2 linked regions of the Arabidopsis thaliana genome follow. Each later gene encodes a partner of the first gene's protein in a complex. Each region holds a gene or a part of one and is shown on either strand. Other genes may lie near its edges.

Region 1 (6,770 bases):
TTCGCTGTAAATAAACAACCAAAAAAAACATTGGTTTTGTTAGAAAAGAAATGAAAAACTCAAAAATATAGAACTGAGATTATAAAGAGTCACTTTTGAAATAGATACACTATCATACTCATCCGGACGTTCTCATGGACAAAGATGATAGTGTATCTACTTTCAAAGGTGACTCTCGATAAATTTGATGAAAGTAAAGAACACAAAAGTGTTTAGATGATGAATTATATTAGACTCTCATGAGAATAAAGATACAAGTTACAATCTCTTAGGGCATCTCCAACCCTACTCTATTTTAGAGTAAAAATACAAAAGCCTTCTCCAACCCCACTCTATAATTGACTCAAAAATAGAGATTTATGCAGATTGACTCTATATATAGAGCAACTCTATTCTCTACTCTATTTTTGAGTTCAATTTTTTTATTTATACTTTAGTCCCTCAAATTTAAACTTTTTATTTAATACATATAATTATTTTACAAACAACAACTACAACACATAATTTTATAAACTTAACAAACAATTAAGTATTAAATTTAAAATAATTTTATAAACTTAACAAGAAACAAGTACCTAATTTAAAATAAACAACATAAAAAAACTAAAACATCAAATTAACTAGTGATTTAATAGTCCGGTAAATTGCTTGTGGATCCGCCAAGATAGTCGAAATATTATCCAAATGAAGTAGATGGAGGAAGAGTTTCTTGATCTTGTCGTTGGACACATCGTTTTTGTAAAAGCCGTACTTGTTCACTCTCAAAATATGCCCGAACATGTGAGTTTTGAAAGGAATCCAAATCACAAAATAAAAATTTGTAATGTTTTATTATTGTTATATGATGTAATGTTTTTTAATAAATAAGTAGTGTTTAATTTAAATAATGTCATATTTTCTGGAAATTTTTGCAAATCTATAATATATGAGGTCAAATTGTAAATTATATAATTAAAAGGAATTAGTATATAAATTAGAAATAGAATATTTTTAAGAATATTCTTTTTTAGAGTAGAAAATAGAGCTATACATTGGAGAGAAACCCACCTCAAAAATAGAGTAACTCTATTTTAGAGGTGGATATAGAGCTATACATTGGAGATGATCTTTATATAGAGAAGGAAGAGATCTAAGTTTCCTAAACTAAAATAAACATATATGTAAATAATATTTTTAGAGATAATATTAAACTTCCTAAACTCTAATATTAACATTTATTAATATTCTTCCAAATTCTTCTAGAATCATATCTTTTTGCCATATCTTGGCTTTGTGATCTCGGTCGATTTTCGGTTCTCTATATTCCAATGGACTCTTTATAATCTCTGTTTCTTTTTTTTAGTTTTTTTTTTTCCTGTGAAACTAATGTTTCTTCTGATTTAGCGATGGTTGATTGTAAGAAAAAACTAGGGTTTTGAATAAGTTTAGAACAAATGAAAACTTCTCTCTATGTTTGAGTTTTATAAGCGACTTTCTTTATTAGAGAAGAAATATCAAAAGTCATTTGCATTGGGAAATGAAAACACTTTAATTACGAAACCAGAACGTCATCAATACTATAGTAATGATGCTTTGTTCTGCCTCGTCCTTTAGTCTTCTTTCTAGTTTACGATGACTCATAATTACTTCTTCTGTGAGATTTTCCCATTTCTCCACCTTCCACGACTCCGGCGACGAAAGTAACCATTAGAAAACTATTGTTGGCGTGAGTTGGTTATACATGGCCCATTTAACAGTCCACTTTAAGGCCCAATTCACAATCCATGTTATTAACAAATATATTAATCCATAAAAGTGTACACATTCTTGATTCGCCTCGAGATAAACTAATCTCTAGTTTCTTCTTAAAGATCGATGAGCTTGATTTCAAGACTTGTTTGATTAGTACATAGTAAAATATTAAGAAATAGACAAGACTTGTTTCATCATCATCAGTTACAAGAAAGAAAGAAATACACATTTGTGTTAAATCACATAATCAGACCACTCGGTTAAATACGATGTCTGGTCCATAGTCAGACAAGGAATCTTATCATGTTTTCTCGGATTCTCTTTCCCACCAATCAACCTCGCCGGATTTCCAACCGCCGTCGTACGCGCCGGCACATCCTTAACCACCACCGACCCTGATCCAATCTTAGCTCCCTCACCGATTGTTATATTCCCCAATATACAACTCCCAGCTCCAATCAACACACCATCACCAATCTTCGGATGCCGATCACCACTCTGTTTCCCTGTTCCTCCCAAGGTCACTCCGTGTAGAATCGAAACATTGTCTCCAACCACCGCCGTCTCTCCGATCACCACGCCCGTCGCATGGTCTAAAAGAATCCCTTTTCCGATCTTCGCTCCGGGATGAATATCGACGGCGAAAGATTCTGATACTCTGTTTTGGATCAATAAAGCTACGATTTTTCTGTTCTGTTTCCAGAGGGTATGAGCTATTCGATGAGCTTGACAAGCGAGGAAGCCTTTGAAGCCCAAGAAGCAATGAACGTAGCTTATACAAGCTGGGTCTCTTTCTTTGACTGCTATAAGATCTTGCTTCGTGGATTCGATGATCTCAGGGCTTTCTTCTAAAACGCTTATGAACAGTTCGAAGAGTGTGTTGCTTGGTAGGTTTAAATTGCTGAGCTTTACGGAGAGGATGTGAGCTAAAGCAGACTCTAAAGATCGATGAGATGTGATCGAAGCGTAGTAGTAGTTTGATAAAATGGGTTCTTGTTTAACATCGGATTTGGCTTCTTCAAGCATCTTGATCCAGACATCATCGTCATCTTCGATTTGGGTGTGGTGAATCTTCCGGTTTACAGAGAAACCGGGTCGAAAGAAATTCTTGATGCAACAGAACCGGGAATCATCGTCTTGGGTATTACCGGTTCGGCATGTGTCTATGCATGTTGCCATGGTTTATGATTTGGAAGAAGAAAGAGTTTGAGATAAAGAAGAGAAGAGAGAATGGTTGTTGAGTGAAGAAGATGAACATAGCTTATATACACAGAGAGAGATGGCGGCGACCTTTGACTCTGACCCAAAAAAATCTCAAAAAGTAATTACAGTTTAATTAGCGCTCTCTAAATATTTTATTCTTTAATTATACACATTTTTCTGCAGATTAAGGAGGTAATGAATTATATAGTAAGTGAGATTAATATATATTTTTTTCCATACACAATTTTATTTTGGAAATGGTTTTATGTTTTTAATTTTATGATTTATTGTCCAGACAATTACGATGTTTACAATTTTGTATTTATTTTTGCATGATTAGTCTGCTTATCTACACATATCTAAGGGTCATTAGCCATCACATGTTTTTAGTGCCACCAACTTTTTCATAACAATAACATCAACTACTTATTATCTAGCTATTTTGTATGATATGTAATATAATTTTTTTTTTTTTGTTGGGTTGTAGAATTTAGAAGGCACTTGTAGTAAAATGGTTATAATTTCCAAATAATGGGGGGAAAAACCAAGAAAATTGGATCTATTATTAAAGTTGCCAAAAGGAGGAGGTTTTCAAAAGGAGGAGGTTTTCAAAGAAAGGTGACGTTAGTAATGACGTAAGTCTAAAGTTACGTGAAGCAGTCGCCCTTTGACTTTAACTCCTTATTTTCAAGGTTGTCTGAATCTAATCATTTTTTCACACTTTAATAATCTAATGCTAATACATGATTAATTTATACATAATTTAACTTGGAACTTTTTTACTCATTAATAATTTGATAACTACGTACGTGTTATTGACTGTTAGTCATAATAGAGTGAGTTTAGTTTACTCTACACACTCCATTTGTGTATATCTTTTTTTCGCGTATGGAAATTGTGAAAGCTACATTATGGTTGAAGATATCTCTATTCAGTACTCAATACTCAATAATGAAACTTGTGTAACTTTTATGATAATCAAATTATTCAATTGGGCAACGTAGATTACGTGACATTGTCATTTGCCTAATATTGTCCTTTGTGCACACCTTTATGTTGATGGATGGATTCAAATAAATAAAATTATCCGTTTTTCTTACTGCAAATAAGTTATCTTATCTTAGTTGGAATTTTGGATGTTTTGAAATGAGAAAACAACAACAATAAAATTCAAAAATATTAAACTTTTTTTTTTAAATGGCAGTAGAATAGTGGTGTCCATTGTTTGAGGACCCAATCTTTCGTTATCATTGTCCCTTATTAGGGTTTCTTTCAATTTTCAACCAGTAGTCAAGTAGATTTGGCTCTTCAAAATCATGAAAACACAAAATACTATTCAGTTAGAGAATTCGATTTGGTTCACAAAGAATATATGAACTTTCCCTTTCGAGTTACACAATTTTTTGGTTTCTAAAATTTATATTGAAAAATGTCGAATATCTCTTAGAATAAATCATATGAATAAATTTTATCTATTTAGCTAAAATATAATTGTGATGTGTTGAAGAATGGAGAATGACATGATGAAGAATGGACACTGTGAAACGTCAGGACACACAAAAAAACAACACAAATAATAAGATTGGAAGAGGATACCAATAGACTGGAACTTTAGTAGCACAATAAGGAGCTAAGATTGAGCATGATGCTTAATGAGGTTAAGTATCTGCTTCCTTGAGTCCTCTATCAGATAAGGGGCACTCGATATGATCCTAAGCTTTTTGATTTGGTACCATCTGCTAACAAAAGCAAAAGCAAAAACATCACCTTTTATGAAACTGAATCGCTGTTGAACCTTAAACATCAATTGATAGACAAAGAGTTTGTCAAAAGATCTTCAGAACCATCCCATTTGATGCACACTATGATCAGAAACAACACATGCATATATACTTCAGACTGAAGATACTATCTACTTTAGGGAAACTCATATTCATCAACACTCTAATGCTTCAACAGGTTTTTTAAACCTGAAAGTAAAATAGCCTCACCATTGCCTAACAAAAAGAACAGTTTTATAAGTTTCACAATTCTAACAAGTCCTAGTGAAACATACGTAATCTATTTCAGGAGCGTGGACATTAACGCACATGATATTTGAACAATTCTTCATTTGTGTTATTGTAGCTTGTTTTAACAGCCACGAATCATGTCTGAATTGATTTAAGAAAGAGCTAGGTACCTGAATTCACACGCGCAGACACACACACACACAATGTATGTAAATGATTGTTCACAAGAGCAGACAAAAACCTCAAAGTCTAACTGGGAAGTTTAGACCGCTTGATCTAATACCAAGGATAGAAAAGCACAATTCTATCAGGTTAGCTAAAGATTCTGCAAAGCAGGATTAGAAAAAAGTATAGCATTCTAGAAATCAAACAATAGAGGCTCTGAGAATGGTTAAGAAGAAGAGCATACCTCGGAAGCCTCAGAGACGAGTTTCTCATTTGACTTCAGGCAATGGGTCTAAGGTTTCAAGACTTGGTAGACGAAAGGGAGTGTTTACAGGACCAGAAGCTGAAACAGCCATAGATAGAAGATGGAAGCAACGAGAACAAAGAGACTCTCTGTGTAGAACAAGACGCCGACGACGTCAAAATTAGAAAACCACCATCAGAATACCAACAAAGAATCTTATTTTCATTCAGCTTCCTCAAAAATCGTTATTCAAAGGAAAAAAGAAAACCTTTTCCAATTTTTCACATCATTGAGTTTACTCATCTAACTTTGTTTGAGTGTTTGCAAAATGAAAATACTATTTCCACCTAATAAAGTTAAAAAGCCTACTACTCTACATAACACAACGTAGCCACAAGTCCAAGTTTGGACACTGTTTATAGAACTTGGAGAATCATGTCCGTTGGCTACCAAAAATGGCTAAGAGTTTGACATTTAGTCCTTGTGGAAGACTGGTAACTCCCTCAAGTGCCGACATTAGGAGCACCAGTTGACAATGGTGCTCCATACGAGTACCTCCACTGACCACAAGCCTCACATTTCTCTAACTTCACCTCATTTTCAAGCGTGCAGAATTTGCAAGACCAGACTTTGTGCTTCATCTCCCTTTCCTTTGGCTTTGCGGCAGTGCATAGCTCACATATTGGAGCCAATGACTGGTAGGAGAAAACAAGACCGATAATGAAAAAACAGTATAGAGACAACAAGAAGCTTCAAGTTTATACACTCTTAAGGAAGACTTACCGGGTTCAATAAGGTGCATTCTGCACACTCCCACATTGTGGATTCTTCTCTGCTTTGGTTTGCATTGTAACTCGTCGATGGCAAAGGAATCGATGACTTCATGACACCAGCGTTCGGTACATCTTTGGCACAAGAAGGACCCTGATCACCTGGGCTGCGATTTCTTTTAGTACATCTTATTTCAAAAGATTCTTCAGTCAAATCAATGACATCTGATCCCTGTTGATGACTGGAAGATGGAGGACAAGAATGGGCATTGGACCAGCTATTACATCGTTTTACTGACTTTCCATTCACGCTCGTACAAGTTTCCCTGATGGAAACAGGTTCCTTATATGTGTCACTATCATTCTCTTCATCTTCTAAAGCATCTGTGGATTGGGAACCACACCAAATATCATCAAGTAAACGCCTTTCTGCAGCCATTGCAGCAGCCTGAATTGGACTAAGATCTGACATAATGCTGCTATCACCACCAAGACGTTGAGGTCCTGAAGGTAAAAGAGTTCCCGCACGCACTCTTTTTTCTGCTGCTGTAGCTGCAGTTGCTCTGAGAAATGATAGAGAAGGCTGACGAGAAAGTCCACCCAAACGCTTACCAGGCATATCAAATCCCTGTCCCGTCCCTGTAA
Region 2 (8,744 bases), on another chromosome or scaffold:
AAAGATCTAATCCAAGAGATTTCTGAAAAGACGCGCCAACTTGGAGAATATGCCATATTTGAGTTTGGACTTACGACCAATGGGATTGACATCGAGGAACTCCGGGATCTGATACTCAAGTGTCCGAGTGTTAGTGCTTCTGGCTAGACGATCCGATGATTGGTAGAGACTGATCTTGTCTTCGAAATTGGGGTTATGAACAATGGGCTTGACATCGGAGACCTCATGAGGCATTTGATATTCAAGCTTCCGATTATGGTTGATTGTGGTTAAAGGACCAGATGATTGATAGAAAGTGCTTTGGTCGTCGTAGTCATCGGTGACTTTGTAGTTGGTTCTGAGGGCTACGTCATTGATCCTTGTAATGGGACACACATAAATGCCAATGGAAGTCAGAGTGCCATAGTTATCAAAAGACCCAAAGAAACCACCAAACTCACGACGATCACGTATCTTCACATCAATTTCCACCTTATAGTTATCCATAATATTCTTTGATGATGAATATCTATCACAAATCGGGCCGTGTTTCCCCTGATTAGTGTGAATATTCAAATTCGTGATCCCTTTACAAAGATATATTGCACTCAACCCGGTCACAAACTCATCGTCATTTAGTCTCACCTGTATATTGCATAAATTTGTTTTAACGTGGTCATCAGTAACAAGAGCAAAAACAAACTATACATGATGAACAACAATGTTAATTACATAAACAAAATGTAAAGATTCCACTAAGAAAAATTACCAGATATTATAACTATCAGAAGGAAGAAAAAACATGAAGATGTATTATAACAAAACTTACCATTACGTGGAATCGACCGTTGTACGAACCATACTTTTGTTTTTGGGCATCAGACATACCATACTTTTTAGACACGACATGACCTCCGTTCTGACAATAGCTAAACTGAATAGAATTTATGGTATCTTTGTCGAAAGCGACATATATACTAGAGATCATGTTGCGTCCCTTCTCTTCCCATTCCAAATTCTTAAGATAAGCACGTTGTGACCCAATTGGTCCGACTTTGAACATCTCCCTACCACGGGATTTCATTTAGAATATAGCAGACGAAAGAATTAAGCTCGGATTAAAATATTTTCTTAATAAAACAATTTGTTCTTCTGAGGACGATCTATACTTATATATAGACGAAGAAAAGCTTTACATACCTAATCTCTCTAAGAAAACTTCCTTAATCAAAATGTAAAGCAACTTGAAAACAGTAAATTTACTAAATTCGAAGAACAAAAAAGTAACTATAAATATTTAATCTCCTTGCTTATTTGTTATTTACTTTATAGCTATAGTTTACCTATTTAAAGCTATATTCATCTAAGGATACTAGTAATAGTTAAAGCCTTTTTTTTTCTTTGCTAACAGTTAAGATGCCGATTTTCCATAGATTTAAGAACATTAGATGCGTCTAAAGATTTTTCCAAATATTTAATTAAGATGCTGGTTCCTTCCGTCTATAGAATTCGTGAGCCAAAAAGTCATAATACGTTATTAGTAACAAATGATGCATCATCTTTGGGTATACTATACATGAAATGATTCGTGACTTCGAATTTTGTCATTTAAACATTTCGTTTTTCATCACAAGAAAATGGAGCACAAATTTACAAAAACAAATAATAAAGGAAGAAATGGGACCATTTTTTATTATTACTTGAGAGTTGAGAAATAGAAAGATGATTGATCCAAAAATGCTACTTTATTTAAGATAAAACTCAACAGGCAACTTGAACTAGGCTACAAGGCTTTCTTGGTCAACTGTTTTCGCGTTTAACAACCATGTCGAGACTTGTAATGGGTCTCAAATACATACCAATCGATGTCAGATGGTATAAATTGTTAGACCCAAAGAAACCACCAAACTCACGTTCATCACATATTGCCGGATCAATATCTATCTTCCAATGATTTGGATAATTGTCGCTTGAACGTCCAATCATATACTCCCCGACGTTAGTGCGAAATGTCAAATTTCTGATCCCTCCACCATGCTTTCTTAGTACTCCACTTAATCAAGTTACATATTCGTCTTGATTCAGTCTCAACTGCGTTTAAACTTCATCAAAAACAAAACTTGACCGGATCTTACGCAAACGCAAAAATAAATAATTGTTATTGACACAAAACTTACAACACGAAAGTTGGAGCCCTCCTCAATGCCACCATGCTGTTTAGACAGGACTAGAGCTCCATTCTCCAAAAAACCAAACTGAATAGACATTATGACTTCGTCGAAAGCAACATATATGTGAGAGATCTTGCGTCCCTCGTAATCCCAACTATCGTCACCCATCACCTCTTCTCCAACACCGTCGTCCCAATAAGTATACTCACATGTCGATTTTTTTCCCACTGATCCTGCTCTTATCATCGCTATATAAGAAGCAGGCACAGAGTACAATAGTTTTAAGTGGAAGGAGAGATATAGATAGGCGAAAGGACGATTATATAGGAGACTGTCTTGTCCAAAACTCGAAGAGTCGTCATAACTTTCATTTATGGATTCCATTGGGAGAAAGCTAAACAAGTTTCCAGGTACATTAAACAAAACGCTCGAAAATTGTGCTCAAGAAGAAGACTCTTCGTTTGACCAAAACCTCTTATGCCTTTATTAATAACAAACACCAAATTGCGTTGCGAATTGTAAATATACACAGTAGACGTAGAGATTTCTGCAGAAACGTCTATTAGAAGAAAAACAATCAGCAATAAATCAAAGAAGAGGTTCCTTGTTGGTCACGAAATTACAGAAGAAAATCAAAGCTCGGGCTGCATTTGCTCGCACTCTTCTCGAATCGACTGGAAAAGCTGGGTCGAGAGGTAACGTTCCCCGAAGCTCGGGAACACAACCTGAAAACCAAGATTCAGCAACTCACATATCAAACTATACATATGATGAATCTGTTATATTTTTTACTCCATACTAAGCTAAAATCCTTTCACTGATTCCCTACGTTGGGCTATAGTAATTGAATAATAAGCTCCTCTCTTGTTCTTTGCAATGACTAGGGTTTGGTGTGGCAGAGAGATTAAGCTCCTCTCTTGTTCTTTGCAATGACTAGGGTTTGGTGTGGCAGAGAGATTAAGGCAACGTAAACGTTCATTAGACGTATAAACCAAACCAACTACTCAAATACAAATGTTAAAATAAGTAGTAAGACTCTAAAAGGACCAAGGTTCATGATTAGATAACTTAAGAACTCTTTTTCTATATCATTCAGTGGTTGGTCACAGATACAAGACTAGGTTTTGGTCCATAAAGAAATTATGATGAAGAACATTGAGGACTTACGGCTATGAGTTTCCCGGCATTTTCAGGTCTCTTTGCAACCTGGATTGCAGCAGCAGCAGCAGCTCCAGAAGATATACCAACCTGAAAAGGTTATAGTCGTTTACTAATCGTCATAGATTTCTCATATGCATTTACATTCGTTTTCTATCTTTTATAAAGAGTGTTCCCACTAACAAATAAGTCAAACAGAATAACAAATATAGACTAACCAACAAGCCTTCCTGGAGAGCTAGTTGCTTCGAGGTTTCAATAGCTTCCTCACTGGAAATCTGATAAGAAGCAACAAAACAGGTGAAGTTAAAAAGGAAAATTGTTGCTTGCTGAAAGTGAAAAAGATGAATGTATAGTTATAGAGAACCAAACCAACAGATCATACCGCTATGTATTCATCTACAATAGCCAGATCCAAATTCTTGGGTACAAATCCAGCTCCAATTCCTTGAATCTTGTGAGGTCCTGCATTTCAAATACATGTCAAATAAACGCAAGATAAAAAGAATAACGTGCCAGAGAAACAAGAAAAACAAAATCACTGCCTTACCGGGTTTTCCACCAGAAAGTATAGCACTTTCCGTGGGTTCGACACCAATAACCTGGTACAAGTAAACATCAACTAATTAAATATAACTACAAGTACAAGTAAACATCAACTAAATCTAATTACGGAGGTTATAACATCTACAGTTGATTCCAGCTGATATGCTACAAGCCCTCTTGCTATGTACCTTCAATTCAGGTTTTCTTTCTTTAATGAATCGACCAACACCAGTGATAGTTCCACCAGTTCCAATCCCCGCAACCAATATATCGATTTTGCCTCTTGTATCTTCCCAAATCTCAGGACCAGTCGTCTCATAATGAATCTGCATTTAATCTTATATCAAAACACTAACAAATACTTGCAGCTTTTACCAATGGAACCAGTGAATCCCAGATATAATCGTGATGATTCAAAACTGTATACCATAGAAACTCTACAACAATCCAAAAGGAAGTGCGGAAGAATTTCACTATCATCTCTAATGAACCCTTTCACACACCACCTCTTACTACTGTACAAGGCCAGAAGTAATCGTAGCTCATAATTCATGTCACAGTTAGAGAGTATGATGAAACAAGAAGTAATTACAGACCTTGGGATTGGCAGGGTTGTCAAACTGTTGGAGCATGTAGGAATTGGGAGTTTTTTTCAAGATTTCTTCAGCCTTCTGAATTGCTCCAGTCATACCTTTTGCAGGTTCAGTTAACACAAGCTCAGCTCCAAATGCCCTCAAAAGAACCCGCCTTTCCAAACTCATGGACGCAGGCATCGTCAAGATAAGTTTATAGCCTTTTGAAGCAGCAATGAATGCAAGGCCAATCCCTGTGTTCCCACTCGTAGATTCCACAAGAACACTCTAAAACATTTGCAGCAAGAAAACAAAATCAGAGGGCTTGACAGTTGACACTCAATACAGAATCATTCAACAACAATAAAAGGTCAAATCCATAATCAAATACCTTTCCAGGTGTTATAAGTCCTTTCTCTTCAGCATCAGTAATCATACTGTACCCAATCCTGAAATCACCACAACAACACAAGCTCAGAATGTATAAATGTGAAAGATAGCAAAACCAAAATCAAATTATATTTGGATACACAAACCTATCCTTGACACTGCAACATGGTTCCATGATCTCAAGCTTAGCAGCAACACTTGCAACACAGCCCTTGACTACATTGTTCAAGTACACCATCGGAGTTTTCCCAATAAGCTGAATCAATTCATAACATTCAGAAAGAATATAAAAAAATTAGAAACGAAATCAAAATTCAAAGAAGTCAAATTTACAAGACTAATAATACTCAGTTAGTTTATATCTTCCCCTAAATTGACAAAATTGATCACCAATTTAGATTTCCTCTGTCTCTATCCAAATGCAAACGAAACACAATCTAACCTGAGCGGCGTTATCGGCGATATTGAGCCCTTCAACACCAGCTTCTGGCTTGATAGATACAGCCTTGCACACAACATCACTCCGGCTCTGTCTCTTGAGCGTGAAAGCAGCTGAGGAAACATCGAAAGCAGCAGCCTTTCGAGAGGATAAGGAGAGAGAAGAGAGCTCTGGCGAGTATTTGAAAGGACGGTGGCGAGAAGTCAACGGATTAAGGAGAAAAGCAGAGGAAGATGTCGCCGCCATGACTTGCTCTTTTGCTTCAGTGTATCTTCCTCACTTTCCGAATATTGTACACAGAGAGAAGTAGAGAGAGACTAGAGATGCGGTTTAAACTTGAAGACACTGACTGATTAGATGATCGCACTGTAGCTGCAAAACGACGTCGCTGTTTAATTTCTAAATAAAAAAATCATTTTGGCATCTTCTTTCTACAAGATTTATCCTTTTTCCTTGAATGGTAAAACAGAGTATCTGGAGAAAAGAAGAGACTTTGAAATTGAATTAGTAAAGTTTTGTTTTTTACAATCTCACCAACCTACTAGTCTGATCCAACAAGAAGGTGAATATAGAGCACATGTTCTTCTTCATCATGCAGCCCTACCAAACTCTCAAAGGTCAGATAAAATCTTTCTGGATCTCTTTTTGTTCTTTGCCTTCTTTTAATTTCTGGGTAGCTGTTAAAGTTATTACAAACTTTTAGTGTAGTAAGGTACTGAAAGAGACGATTCTTCTTTGTCGTTATCTCTGTCTTTCTATGATTCTATCCATTCGATCCTCAATCTTACAAAAACTCGAACTTTGGTCAGTTTTGTAGACGAGTTTTGTGCCTTTGCTGTTTTTGTCTGATTCAATAAAAATTGACCGATTTGGCAAATTCTTAATCCGATTTGAGACATCGTTTTTTGAGTTTGTTCATTGGTCCACTATTCTCCTACTTTGTTGATTTGACTCTTCCATTTCTGGATTAGTAAGATGTGATTGCCATTAGATTGCGCAAGAAAGGTTCCTCATTTGCTCTGTTTGCCTTTGACTAAACAAATTGTCTGTTTGATTAGTTTTGGATGATAGGTGATGAGATAGTCATGGTTGTTTATTTCCTCCAATTGCAGGTTAGAATTTGCTATCGGATCATCTGCTAAGCTTGGTTTACTCTTCCTAGAACATCGATTGTATCGAGGTTTACTATTGGATCAAAGATGTCTGCAGAGGAGAAGAACCTTATAGAGATCTTGGAGGAAGGTCACAAAGTCGATGTTGTTAAGTACATTGATTATGTCAGTGCCCCTCAAGCTGGTGCTATTGCGACATTCTCAGGCACTACAAGAGACATGTTCGAGGGCAAGACAGTGTTGGAGTTAAGGTATGAAGCATATGTGCCAATGGCCACACGATGCCTCAGCTCGATCTGTACAACTGCTAGATCAACTTGGGATATCCACAAGATTGCTGTTGCTCACCGTCTTGGACCAGTTCCTGTTGGAGAAACTAGCGTGCTCATTGCGGTCTCATCTGTTCACCGTGCAGATGGTTTAGATGCTTGCAAGTTCTTGATCGACGAGTTGAAGGCATCGGTTCCGATATGGAAGAAAGAGGTTTACACTAATGGAGAGATTTGGAAGGAGAATTCTGAGTTTATGGAGAAAAGATTGGAGCTTGCAGAGAAAAGAGACAGCATTGTAAAAAAAACTGTGGTTGAAGAACATAGAAGAAGAGGTTGCTGTGGAAGCAAAGTTAGAGTAGAAGAAGATGAAGAGCATAAAGATATTACAGGAGATAACAAATCTTCTTCTTGATCACTTGTAGCAGTAACACTGTTTCGCTTTTTACTTTCAATAGACAAACTTTCTTAAGCACATTGTTGAATCTAAAGACTTATATGCGTTAGTTGGTTACTGGACTGGGCTTATACTTGCTACTGCTTGAATCTGTAAGAATCTAATCGAAGATACTGCAAGATTGTAATACCAAAGATAACAATTTTAAGGAGAACTAAAATGATGACCTCATCTGTTAAAGTAGAAGAAGATAAAGAGCGTAATGAAGATATTACAGGAGATAACAAATCTTGATTACTTGTACCAAAGAGCAATGTTTCGTTTTTTCTTTCAATAAACAAAATGTCTCAAAGCACATCGTCGATTCTAAAGACTTCAATTCCACTTAGAGTTGCAAAGGTTTCACAGCTTTGAAATTCAGATCTCTCCCAAGTAGATATTTTTATCACTACTGCAAGATCCAATGATAGGCTCGGTTGGGTGGAAAACACACTCATTGACAGAACCGGTATGGCCTGGGAGCTTATATATAGTGCGCCGACTGGTTGTGTCCCAGATATGAACCATACGGTCTGAGCTACCGGCAGTAACTTTTGTACCATCAGGTGACCATGAACATTTCAGCAGGTTCTTCTCAAAGTTGTGTTGATGCCCCTCAAAGATCTTTACACATCGGTTTTGTGGAGCATAAGGACGCATGTCCCACACACAGAGCTTGTTGTCCATTCCATTAGTGAGAAGGTAGGAACCGTCTGGGCTTAAGCTCATACCTGTGATTGTATCTTGATGGCCCTCAAGTGTCATGGTGGCTTCACCTTTTCTCAAGTCCCAAACCTTAACATCATTGTCTACACCACCAGTGAAAATCTTATCAGCTGCATCTGAGAAACTGACTGCAGTGATTTGGTATTTATCAGGAAATGTTTGTATGGCTCCTCTTTGACGCATGTCCCAAAGCTTGGCAGTTCCATCATCAGATCCACTGATGATAAGAGGTGGCCCTCTACGTGTAGGACAGCAAGAATTCACAAACGATGAATGTTCAGCCATCTTCTTGATTTGTTTCCCAGTCTCAACATCCCAAGCCCTTACAGTTTTATCCGGACTAGCTGATACAATCTGGGAGCCATCACTGGTCCAATGAAGATCAAGGATGGCGTTCTTGTGACCTTTCAAAACCATGAAGTTTTTGCAGTCCCCGTGAACTCTCCAGAGGAAGATTTCTCTGTCATGGGATCCAGATGCAATCAGAGTTCCAGCAGGATTGAACTTCATGGTATAGACAGCACTCGGATGTCCACTTAGCAACATGATAGGTGCTTCCAAGCTCGAGGTCCGGTTCTTGCCATTGGGACCAGGTCCTTGAGAAGCACTGTGTGGGACGGTAGACCATTCCATCGGCCTAGGACCTGACAAAGCAGTCTCATTCTCTCTTGACATGATTTCCATCTTAGCCTACTTCTCACTGGTAATCAAGTTAGAACCTGGATTCCATGAGAAAACGAATCAGAAGATTGAGCGAATTATAACAATATTCACACAGCTGTGTAGCTTTTATAGATATCTCAATTTCAAAATTTTCAAGCCATTAATCAATATAACATCCGAAAAGCAGATAGTAAACACCAAGAAGTATCATGAAACCTGCACATTCTAAGTAAAGCCTACAAAAGCAAAAGGTTGCAATGTTTATTCTCAAGCCGCAAGTAAA

What was found.
Region 2: SERAT2;1 (region 1) and OASB share a complex: the UniProt entries of both Arabidopsis thaliana proteins name them as parts of the cysteine synthase complex.

Annotation. Positions count from the first base shown.
Region 1 is NC_003070.9:20,908,518-20,915,287, reverse strand, and holds SERAT2;1 (serine acetyltransferase 2;1), read right to left. Parts: upstream 3,173-6,770; 5' UTR 3,127-3,172; coding exon of another isoform or gene 3,118-3,126; 5' UTR 3,053-3,117; coding exon of another isoform or gene 3,011-3,052; 5' UTR 2,911-3,010; coding exon 1,966-2,910; 3' UTR 1,723-1,965; downstream 1-1,722. Other genes in the region: AT1G55917 (uncharacterized protein), read left to right, coding at 3,011-3,052, 3,118-3,126, 3,230-3,240, 3,275-3,299, 3,422-3,448, 3,506-3,552, 4,139-4,163; AT1G55915 (zinc ion binding protein), read right to left, coding at 5,859-6,050, 6,139-6,770. UniProt on the Arabidopsis thaliana protein: Serine acetyltransferase which catalyzes the formation of O-acetyl-L-serine from acetyl-CoA and L-serine. Also displays O-acetylserine (thio1)-lyase activity in vitro. May be involved in detoxification process by mediating the production of glutathione.
Region 2 is NC_003071.7:18,126,822-18,135,565, forward strand, and holds OASB (O-acetylserine (thiol) lyase B), read right to left. Parts: upstream 5,818-8,744; 5' UTR 5,502-5,817; coding exon 5,259-5,501; intron 5,073-5,258; coding exon 4,963-5,072; intron 4,876-4,962; coding exon 4,818-4,875; intron 4,715-4,817; coding exon 4,451-4,714; intron 4,181-4,450; coding exon 4,043-4,180; intron 3,911-4,042; coding exon 3,859-3,910; intron 3,774-3,858; coding exon 3,694-3,773; intron 3,587-3,693; coding exon 3,527-3,586; intron 3,399-3,526; coding exon 3,318-3,398; intron 3,021-3,317; exon of another isoform or gene 2,876-3,020; coding exon 2,783-2,875; 3' UTR 2,614-2,782; downstream 1-2,613. Other genes in the region: AT2G43740 (Mannose-binding lectin superfamily protein), read right to left, coding at 7-681, 809-1,063; AT2G43745 (jacalin lectin-like protein), read right to left, coding at 2,038-2,070, 2,157-2,534; AT2G43760 (molybdopterin biosynthesis MoaE family protein), read left to right, coding at 6,455-7,051; AT2G43770 (Transducin/WD40 repeat-like superfamily protein), read right to left, coding at 7,451-8,482. UniProt on the Arabidopsis thaliana protein: Acts as a major cysteine synthase.